Linked DNA regions of Danio rerio. The protein of the gene in region 1 purifies or fractionates together with the protein of each later gene. This does not show direct contact. Links are inferred from orthologs where the notes say so. Each region holds a gene or a part of one and is shown on either strand. Other genes may lie near its edges.

Evidence for each region.
Region 2: the proteins of eif3f (region 1) and prrc2b purify together in Homo sapiens (affinity purification with mass spectrometry; 3 studies listed by BioGRID and IntAct, counting the BioPlex papers as one, with this or other methods). This does not show direct contact. The link is inferred for Danio rerio from reciprocal best matches to the Homo sapiens genes EIF3F and PRRC2B.
Region 3: the proteins of eif3f (region 1) and eif3ba purify together in Homo sapiens (affinity purification with mass spectrometry; 14 studies listed by BioGRID and IntAct, counting the BioPlex papers as one, with this or other methods). This does not show direct contact. The link is inferred for Danio rerio from reciprocal best matches to the Homo sapiens genes EIF3F and EIF3B.

Annotation. Positions count from the first base shown.
Region 1 is NC_133176.1:11,702,039-11,705,798, forward strand, and holds the start of eif3f (eukaryotic translation initiation factor 3 subunit F), read left to right. Parts: upstream 1-1,138; 5' UTR 1,139-1,165; coding exon 1,166-1,277; intron 1,278-1,456; coding exon 1,457-1,527; intron 1,528-2,665; coding exon 2,666-2,745; intron 2,746-3,760. UniProt on the Homo sapiens protein: Component of the eukaryotic translation initiation factor 3 (eIF-3) complex, which is required for several steps in the initiation of protein synthesis.
Region 2 is NC_133180.1:78,421,094-78,424,753, forward strand, and holds part of prrc2b (protein PRRC2B), read right to left. Parts: intron 2,988-3,660; 5' UTR 2,924-2,987; coding exon 2,809-2,923; intron 506-2,808; coding exon 328-505; intron 1-327.
Region 3 is NC_133178.1:40,722,595-40,726,254, forward strand, and holds part of eif3ba (eukaryotic translation initiation factor 3, subunit Ba), read left to right. Parts: intron 1-907; coding exon 908-965; intron 966-1,067; coding exon 1,068-1,196; intron 1,197-1,307; coding exon 1,308-1,465; intron 1,466-2,603; coding exon 2,604-2,735; intron 2,736-2,833; coding exon 2,834-2,900; intron 2,901-2,986; coding exon 2,987-3,033; intron 3,034-3,326; coding exon 3,327-3,537; intron 3,538-3,620; coding exon 3,621-3,660.

The DNA.
Region 1 (3,760 bases):
TTTTATGCCAGCCGCAACCCATCTCTGGGAAACATCCACACACACACATTCACACACGCACTCATACACTACGGACAATTTAGCCTACCCATTTTACTGCATGTCTTTGAACTGTGGGGGAAACCCACACAAAGGCAGGGAAAACATGCAAACTCCACACAGGAACGCCAACTGAGCCGAGGTTCGAACCAGCGACCTTCTTGCTGTGAGGCGACAGCACTACCTACTGCGCCACTGCCTCACCTGTATAATGAACTTTTTATAGTAAAACAAAATTCATTTAAAACAGAATGGAGTTACACTAGTAAAGCTGCACCCTCTGCCTTGACTTGTTTATTTTCATTTACCTTTTTTTTGTAGATCAGCAATAAAATAATCAAACAAACCAAGGTTGCGTTAAATTAGAAATTAAGATCTCTGTTAAAGGCAATTGTCCCAACCCTCCCTATCAGTCTCTCTTCTCAGATGGGATGGTGGGCCAAATCAAAGATTATCAAGGGCCAAGTTTGGCCCACATGCCCTAGATTGGATACCTCTGGCCTAAATGATATGTTATTACAACAACTAGGCCTATAGCAAAACAAGTTGCCCAATAGCCTGTGGTTAGTTATATATTAGGCTACATGATAATACATCACAATTTACTGTTGTAAAACTAAAATATACTACAGTTGCCTACACAGTTTATTATAGATAATGCAGTAGCATTTATTAGCATGTGTTGTTAACTTAATACTTTATAGTATAGGCCTACAGTATAATAAACTTTACTATCATTTGTTTCAAAAACACTATCGTAGCCAATTTACTATGAATTACTCCATTATCTTTTCATGTGCGTTGTCTTGGCCATGTTTTCATCATGTCTAAATGTTTTGGATTGCTGCCATGTGGTTAGCTGATCCGATTTTTGGCATTAACATGCAGTTGTGTTGCTATTAAATTGTCCATTGAAAAAATGGATATGTACCAAGCAAACCTCGAAGAACTTTAACCTGACCCACCCACTAAAACTTTACATGCTGTGTTTAATTATTTATTTGATTATAATTTTTTACACATTATTTTGTCAGCCACCTACATCCGCTAGGGGGCGGCAGCGCGAATCCCACTGACGCGCTCTTCTTCTCTGTTTATCATCATCTTTTACTTCCTCTTCGAAATCATGGCGGTGCACGGCCCGGTCGTGAAAATCCACCCGGTGGTTTTGGCTTCGATTGTGGACTCATACGAGCGCAGGAATGAAGGAGCGAGTCGCGTGATCGGGACATTATTAGGTGGGTCATTGAATTCTTGTGTGAGATTTATGAGACAGTTGCGATTATTACAAACAACATGAGCGTCGCTTGGTCTTGTGGAGCATGTGTTGTAGTCGAGCTGAATGGCTGGGGTGGATGAGAAACTGTACAGATCAGCAGCATCACTTACCTGGTGGTTGTGTTTGTGTGTCAAACAGGAACAGCAGATAAACATTCAGTCGATGTCACCAACTGCTTCTCTGTTCCTCACAACGAGTCTGAAGATGAGGTGAGAAAAAAAGCATCATCTAATACATCCTTTACATTAGTGTGTGCCAGACATTTATGTAGCTTTTTAGGCATAACGAAAAACAAAACAATTTCACATCACAGGTATCTCACTGTAACTTTGTAATGGTCTAAAGGGTTCGAGTGAGACATCTGTGGTATTTCATGTTCTGTTGTTATGCATCTTTAGCTAATTGATTGGTTGAAATACACTTACAAACCATCAGCCAAAATTGAAGTGAGGTAAAGTTGATTTTATATTTGCACATTCAGACTTTCACCTTCTTAATGTAATTTCAGAAAGGTATTCTTTGTCAAATCCTAAACGGTCAACTCAAATTAACAGCCAGTGACTATTAAAGTACAACATTGTTTACAGTCAGTTAAATGGTGCTAATGTGGATTTAAAGTAGGCATGGGCCGGTATACAATTCTGACGTTAATATTCTTTAATATAAATATCACATTTTCACAGTATTACATAGTGATTACGGCTCTGCTAAATGGTAGCGCTCCAGTTTTTTTTTTTTTTTTTACTGTTTACAAACTGGTAATTCATCTATAGCAGATAATTTTGGCGGTTTTAAAACATCAGTTTTTTTTTTAAATCACTGTGTACCTTGAAAACGGTTATCGTCCCATGCCTATTTTGAAGTCATGCATTTCAGACCGATTATTCAATGTAGCCTGGTAAACAATGTAGGGACCTTTCATAGAGTTCATAAGCTTTTTTTTTTTTTTTTTAACTATAACAATTTGCTAATTTATCTGTATTAGCCTTTTCCCAGAGATGGGTTGCGGCTTGAAGGGCATCCTCTGCTTAAAAACTTGATGGATAAGTTGGCGGTTCATTCTGCTGTGGCGACCCCGGATTTATAAAGGGACTAAGCCGACAAGAAAATGAATGAATCTGTATTAGCCTCTTTAAAATTTGCTTTACTATTTTATTGAACACGAGTGTCTGAATGTTCAAATATAAAACCAACTTAATTCAAAAGTGTCATGTTACATGCTACTGTATTTTTGGACATGTACCATATGTTATTTATGCTTTACTAAGGAGCACCAGCATTTAATCATCATCATTGTGCAATTTATTTACCTTTTAAAATTATTTTTATTTTATTTTTTTTAAATAGGTGGCTGTTGACATGGAGTTCGCCAAGAACATGTATGAGCTTCATAAGAAGGTTTCGCCGAGTGAAGTCATTGTTGGATGGTATGTGGCCGCATTTCCAAATTAATATAATTCTTTTCTTTGCTAAAGTTTTGTTAAGTTATTGTTGTAAGCACATTTTTTGTTATATTTTTAGAAGGTTTAGAAACTTTTGTGAACATTTGTTATTTTTCATTTAATGCATTTTGCTTTGCGCTATGGTAAAATAACTAAAATAAGAAAATTAAATAAAATGATATTTTTTTCTCCTACAGTCCCATGATTTATTTTTGCAGCCATTTTAAATGTATATCTCATGTTTACAAGTTTATATTTCACAATTCAGATATTCATTTCATTTTCATTTGTTGTTCTTACAGTTCAGTTTATATTGCTACTCTTTTTTTTAAGTATATTTGCCTTTTATTCCATTGTAAAAGCAAGCTTCCATTAGGCCTGTCACGATATATCTAGTTTTTGTTGTACGGTATATTGCACCAAAATACATTGCGATAAATGATTTTATTGTGATTTTAATACCATTCTATGCCACTCATTATATAATACCAGAATGACAATATAATATCACCACAATGCAAGTACACTCATACAAAGAACACATAATATTTTATTGTTAAGACTATTTAATTTAGTTATCCTATGGCTTTGGAATGAGATTGTAAAAACGCATATCATAAATAATAATAAATGTTAACAAAAAGGTGCAAGGCAAAAAGTAACAGAAGCTGTGATATCTGCTAGCAGATCTATTTTTAGTTGTCAGACACCCACATGAAAATCTTCTATAGCAATTTATAGTAAAACCTGTAGAGCTTTTTAAACCATACTGACACCTCAATAGAGATCGAGATGTTGCAAAACCAGCTGAAATGTTGCTAGAATTCATTTTTATGTATGGGCGATATATATTGCATCACTAAAAATGTCTGAGGTCATGTCAATATAATATGACACGGCTTATCAATGCGATAAGTTCATATATTGATTACTGTGACAGGGTAGCTTCCATAATGTAGGTTATATCTATATATCAAAAAAGAATAATTATACAGGTAAC
Region 2 (3,660 bases), on another chromosome or scaffold:
AGGTCTCTGGTTTGAGTCTCGGCTGGGTCAGTGTGTGTTTCTGTGTGGAGTTTGCATGTTCTCCCCGTGTTGGTGTGGATTTCCTCCGGGTGCTCCGGTTACAGTCCAAACACATGCGCTATAGGGGAACTGATCAACTACACTGGCCGTAGCGTATGAGTGTGAATGTGTGTATGGGTGTTTCCCAGTACTGGGTTGCAGCTGGAAGGGCATCCACTGTGTAAAACATATGCTGAAATAGTTGGCGGTTCATTCTATTCTTGACAGAAGATCCGTGCTCATGATAACACTACACTGTGCGCTGGATATGAATGAGAAGTGTCTGACCTCTTTGGATCGGGTTGATCCTGCTTGTTTGCCCATCCTGTACCGTCTTTGGGCACGATAATCACGTTGGGATCGTTTCCTTTACTCTCAGACTTCAGACTCGGCAGGTGAGCGGGAGGAGGCATTCGCCGGGCTGCGGCCACTTTACCAAGACTCTGTAAGCCATGACGTGCAACAACTGCAGGACGAGAGGGGGAAACATCATACACACTAGGCCTGCATGACATTAGACAAATCTCACATTGACATAATTAGCAGTTCTACAATACATTTTGCAATACAGAATTGAAAATTGGTAAGGAGTTGTTCACAGTATTTCCTCTAATGTTTGTTCTTCTGGAGAAAGTCTTATTTGTTTTATTTAGGCTAGAATAAAAGCAGTTCTTAATTGTTTTAAACCCATTTTAAGCTCAATATTATTCACCCCCTTCAGCAATATTAGTGTTGGATTGTCTCCAGAACAAACCACTGTTATACAATGACTTGCCTAATTACCCTAACTTTACCCTAATTACCCTAGTGAAGCCTTTACATGTCACTTTAAGCTGAACACTAGTGTCTTGAAGAATATCTAGTCTAATATTATGTGCCTTCATCATGATGAAGATAAGAGAAATCAGTTATTAGAGATGAGTTATGAACACTATTATGATTAGAAATGTGAGAAAAAATATCAACTTTATATATAAACAATCACCAGATGATTTAAATAGCTTGATTTGCAAATAATCTATTAATCTATATTGATTTTGGCGATTCAGTGGAGGAGCGAATCATGCATCAAATGTAATAAATTGCAAGCACAGATAAACAGAGCAAATATAAAAGTGAAATAAACAGTGCTTCACAGTTTCAGGGCAATCAAATCACATTCAGATACAGAAATAAAAAAATAATTATCAAATACAAAATACAGCAAAGACTTCACCATTTCAATAATTCAGAATTATTGTCTAATTAAGATACAAATGGGAAAATTGCTTGCGCTTGGATGCTTTAAACTCTCTTTTGGCTTAAAAAAAAAAAAGCCTGCAAATAATAAACTATCACTCCGTCATGATTAAACTCAGCAGTAACTCCACAAATCTCATGTATGTGGAACCGTGGCTATATATCCTCAATATAATATATACAATCCTAAACTACATAATCTCAATCTAACATGGCAGATCCTGTGATGTGATTACTGCAGATGCACATATTGGGATATGGTTGCTGAAACTATATATTGTGCAGCCCTAATACACAACACTCACACAATCATTTTGAGTGGACGCCCCCTGGGTGATGTTTAAGGACAATAAGAGGTTCCACAAATCGTTATAAATTTACAGTGTGCCTGAAGCAATTCGGTTACGTAATAAATGCAAGCAATCGGTGGATTATTATTTATTATTTTTAGTAATTATTATTTATTATTGAATTTTTTCCCCTCAGTTTTTTGTTTGTGTACTTGATGTTAAGTGTTGGTGTTTATTGTGTTAAGCGTGTCATTCTTGTAATATGTGAAGCACCACCATGTCAGAATGAATTGCCCCAAGAGGATTAATAACCTAAACTATATTTACAGTATTAATACTTGGCAGCACGTTTGAGCTGTGCTCCATGCTTCAAGAATCAAATGTATGAAAGGATTTTCCAAACGCAATTGCAAACTGTATTGTCAACATGAATGCACAAGTTGTGACACAATCCAAATGCAACTGCAAATCCCAAAATTATATGCAATATGCATCATTTGAAGAATGTGCGGATTATCTTAAACAATGCAAATAACACATCAGCCACTTTCACACAGTAATACCAAGAACATTCAGCAGTGAACTCAAATGTGCAGATCTGCAGAAATTAGCTTGACAATGTGTAAAATAAATAAATTAGTTAAAAAAAGATGTTTGAATGATTGATGGAGATCGAAATGACAATCTGCTGTAATATGTTTGTTTATTTATGCATATAATCATTTATTACTACCATCTATCTAATATTACTCTCTTTTAAAGTGTATTGTTTTTTTTAGTTTATGTTTTATATTCTTATTCAGTAAGATGCCTGAATGATTGTAGAAGCTCTTGCTGTTGCAGGACAACACAACATGAAAAACATTACAAATATTTTCTGTTTAAATAAATATGAATTATTAAAGATGTGTGCTTGGTGATCAGCTCCTGAACGTATAATTCTGCCAACACCTGAGGAGAACTGTCTGCACGCAACACTCGTGAACGGCAGGTTAACATCTCCAATATGGCCAGAAATTAAAGATGACAGATTTGTTGATGGTGTGACGAGATGATTGACAGGGCTTGTAACTAAGCAACAGAATAATCCCTTTGATGAGAGGGTAGCTTTTCCCCAAGCTTGCACACTCTTCTGTTACACACTCGTATGTGTGCACTTTCTACACAAAAATAGACACTACACGTGTAATAGGACACAGTATGTGTCGTGTGTGTGGGATGTCAAAGTGTCGAGGCTCACCTGTGGTTTTCTGAGTTTCTATTGACTTCCCCTTGTACTTGTCAAATAGGCTGAGTGATGAATACTTGCTTTTCCCATCCTTGGACTTGGTAATTTGCCCCAAACGATCGGACATTGCGATGTAATGTCATCGAGTATGGAAATTTTTCTTTGCACCTCTTCCTCAGTACCGTCAGATTCTGCGGAGAAAAGTATAATAACGTGAGGAGACAAACCTACCTTTCCTGAACACATCCACACACAAACACACACTAGAGCTGAACGATATTGAAAGAATGAGATATTGCAATATTTACCCAAGAACAATAAAATATTGCAATATGAATACAGTTTCAGCACATGCTTGAACAGCTCTATTTGACACTTTTCTGAGGAGTCTAACAGTATTCAGGGACAGAAATGTAATTTTCTGGTGCAGATATGTTGAAGATCTTAGATCAAGTCAAATATTGCTTTGTTTTGACCTACAGGAGAAATAGCAATCCATTAAAACAAGCAAGATTATCTGCCAATGCGGTGAGTAAAATAATCGCATTTTGGCTGTAAAGTGTAGAAATTTGGACTAGAAACAAGATAAATCCTATCTATTTTGTATAAGAGCAATTCCATGCAAATGTCAACCTTTCCATGAGAAAATTAAGTTTTCACCAAAATACGGAAACAGTTTCTTGTATTTTACAGTACTTTAGACACTCAAAAATGCATCTGTCAGTGTTTTTAAACTATTCTATTAGATTTACCAAAGTCACACAAGTGGCAATTTCACATCCGTCACATCCATAACGGAGAGATGTCACATCCATAACCACACTTTTCCTCATAAATGTGGAAATATTGAATAAAATAAAAGCA
Region 3 (3,660 bases), on another chromosome or scaffold:
GGCATTAACAAAATGTACAAATGAAAAGTCTCACTGTCTGGAGCTGTAGTTAGAAACATAGTTCCTGGCTGTGTTCTATTCCCACTTATCCCCCTATGCGCTATTCATTTAGAACATTCTAATATTAAAAGTTGGTATTGTTAAAAATAAAAAAAAACATTAAGGTCATCTCTCTTAGGTGTAATTTGCTTTCTAACTATTTTTACGGTTCAGTTTTAGCGATCTTCATGTTTACAAATGTGCTACCTTCGCAGTGCATTTTGAAAATATTGATATAATTTTGAACACAGCCTCATGACGAAAGCTGTGGGAGACCTATTATTTAAAAGCAGAATTTATGCATTTAATACATGAATTTTAATGTATATTACATATACATTTATGTAGATTTCAGTAAAAATGAAAAACAAGTGCATGTTTTTTCCAACTCTAATATTGGATTTTATTTTAAATGCATGTGTGTATAAAACAATATAATTGGCACAAAGAATTTGAGTTTTTCTCTAAAGATGTAGTTACTCCACCCTGTTTAGAGCATCATTATGGGCGTTTTATGTTAAAACTAACGTGGTTCAAGCGATGGATCTGCGACAGAGAAACCACGAGTTTTGGGAAATATTTGTCACGACATCGTTCTTTTCCCAAACGATGCAACGTACTATGATAGTTCAGCTGCGAGTTACGTCGTTGTTTGGGAAACGCACCCCTGACCGATGGTGCATTGTCATTTGGGATTCCTGCCTGATACCTTGTGATGTGACTTGCAGATGCATACATTGTGATGCTGCAGCCCTACATACTTTGCTATACATGCAAAAATGTGGCACATACAATAACATGGAAGAGAAAATCAGGTGATGCATTAATAATCAACTGATCACTAATCTAAAGTCTTTTATCCACATAGGTACATGTCAATCTGTGATGAGTGGGAAGCTCCTGAAAAGCAGCCATTTAAAGATTTTGTGAGTTTAATAATATTTTTGATTGTCATTGTCGTCATAACCTACTGAAAATCTTTTATTACAAAAATTAATGAATGTTAATATTTGGTGTTTCTTTTACAGGGTAATCTGCGCCACTGGATGGAGGATCCTGACTGTCGTGATCAGTACAGCGTTATCTATGACTCTGGTGAAAGAACGGGCATATTCGCCAATGATGTCAAGGAGCCTATTGAAGTGGAGGAGAGAGCGGTGAGTTAAGTGTAATGTTATAGAAGACTATCATTCATCTGTAAGAATATATAGATATTGTGGACGTGCATGCTCTGACAATCAGTATTTTTCTTTGTATCTTACTTGTAGCGCTGGACTGAGACATACGTGCGCTGGTCTCCGAAAGGCACGTATCTGGCTACATTCCATCAGAGAGGCATCGCTCTGTGGGGTGGGGAGAAGTTCAAGCAGATCCAGAGGTTCAGTCATCAGGGGGTTCAGCTCATTGACTTCTCTCCCTGTGAGAGGTATGTCATGTTCTCCTGTTTAGAAATGGCCTCATGTTTGTATTTTAACACATTTTGCTCCCTGATTTAGACTCAAATAAACATTCCATATGTTTTTGTTTCTATACTGTACGTACTATCACCCTATCCTCAACCCAAACCTCACAGGAAACAATTTTACTTTCTAGCAAAAAAAAAATCAAATTCTATATGAAAAAGCCATTTTTGAAAAATGGTGACATAGGACAAAGTTCTCAGAGTTCACCTTAAAGATGCAGTAGGTCATCTGCCAGAATGCTAGCATTAGCATAATAGCATAGAAATTTTACGACCCCTGCCGTCCAAAGCCACGCCTCCTTAAGTTATGAACTTGCAAACGCGCACTGATTAGATATAACACTAGATCATGTCATTCACTAGTTAGAAAACTCTATGGACACAAACTTTATCAAGCATAGTTGTTGACCGGCCAGCGGTTGCAGGATTTAAATTTCCCCAAAACTGTGTCACAGGCTGTCAATGTTCAAAAATGAACAAATGTGTGAATATAAATCAAACTTCGCCTCAGTAAAGCTGAATAGCTGATCGGAAGAGCTCATTTACTTGTGTTTTGTTGTTAAACTAAATAAAAATTACATCAGTAAAAATGAGTGCTAAAAACAGAAATATCCTGTCATCCTTTTACATTTATGTTACCAAGACAATGAGTGTCATTTTCAATTGTGCTCGCTGATTCTCGTACATTGCTTGTTTTCATTTTTTTTTTACTTGAACAATTAAACAAATGCTCAGGTCTACTTAACCGATTATATTATGGATGCTGTAATCGGTACTCCACGAACTTGAAAATAGCCAATCTTCTGCGGGATGTTTTCAGTGGTTCAGTTGAGGTTGAGTAAATGAGCATCAAATGAGAAGTTGACTAATGGTTAACATCGTTAGTGATAACATTAGTTAACAGTCATAATCCTGGTCATCCTTTCATAACGATAATTCAAAATAACCAAGTAATGACTAATAAATCATCCTTGTTACTACTTGATTTAACTAGTAGGGCATTTTCAGTGCATCATTTTCTATTACAGTCAAATTAGTAATTTTTATTTCAGGTTAGTAAACCTTTTTTAATGTTATCCTTTTTTTTTTTTTTTTTTTGCAGGTATGTTGTTACATTCAGCCCTCTTATGGACACTAAAGACGACCCACAGGCCATCATTATCTGGGATGTTCTCACAGGACAGAAGAAAAGAGGCTTTCACTGTGAAAGCTCTGCCCACTGGCCAATTTTCAAGTAAGTGTGACCTTAGTCGAATTTCGTAGCACATGTTCCTGATTTGAGTACATTTGAACTAGAATATAATAACTTACGCGGAAACCTGTTGTCTTCAGGTGGAGTCCAGATGGGAAATTCTTCGCCCGAATGACCCAAGACATGCTGAGCATCTACGAGACTCCAGTAAGTCTCTTATGGTTTAGACATGAGATTGTTATTTAAACAGCTGATCTCTGAGGATTCTCAATCGAAAATTGTTTCTTTTCTAGTCGATGGGTCTTTTGGAGAAGAAGAGTTTGAAGATAAACGGAATTAAGTGAGTAATATTAAACAATTAAAGGCATAAATATTTGTATTTTTGGGTGTTTTATATAGTATCAAATATGATTTAAGGCATTTATAATTGTTCAGGAATAATGTTTCAGATTTTTTTGTTAAACATTTTTTTCACTTTTGATGTTTTTATGCATGCTTGTTAAGTAAAAGTATTTAAAAAATAAAAATAAAACTTGGAACTTTTACAAAGTTACCTTAAAAAAAGCCTCCTGAGAGTTACACTAATAACTTTTTGTGATTGCACTGATGACTTTTTTTTTCTCATTTCCACAGGGATTTCTCCTGGTCACCTGGTGATAACATCATTGCATTCTGGGTCCCTGAGGATAAGGACATCCCAGCAAGAGTAACGCTCATGCAGTTTCCATCTAGGAATGAGATGAGAGTCCGCAACCTGTTTAATGTTGTAGACTGCAAACTTCACTGGCAGAAGAATGGAGACTATCTCTGTGTGAAGGTGGATCGAACACCCAAAGGAACACAGGTATGAGAGCAGCCTTGAAAGTGCACTTTCAGGCTACACTAAAATAAAAAGGGATTTTCTCAATTTCTACTTTTCTACTTCAGGGTGTTGTCACCAACTTTGAGATCTTCAGGATGAGAGAGA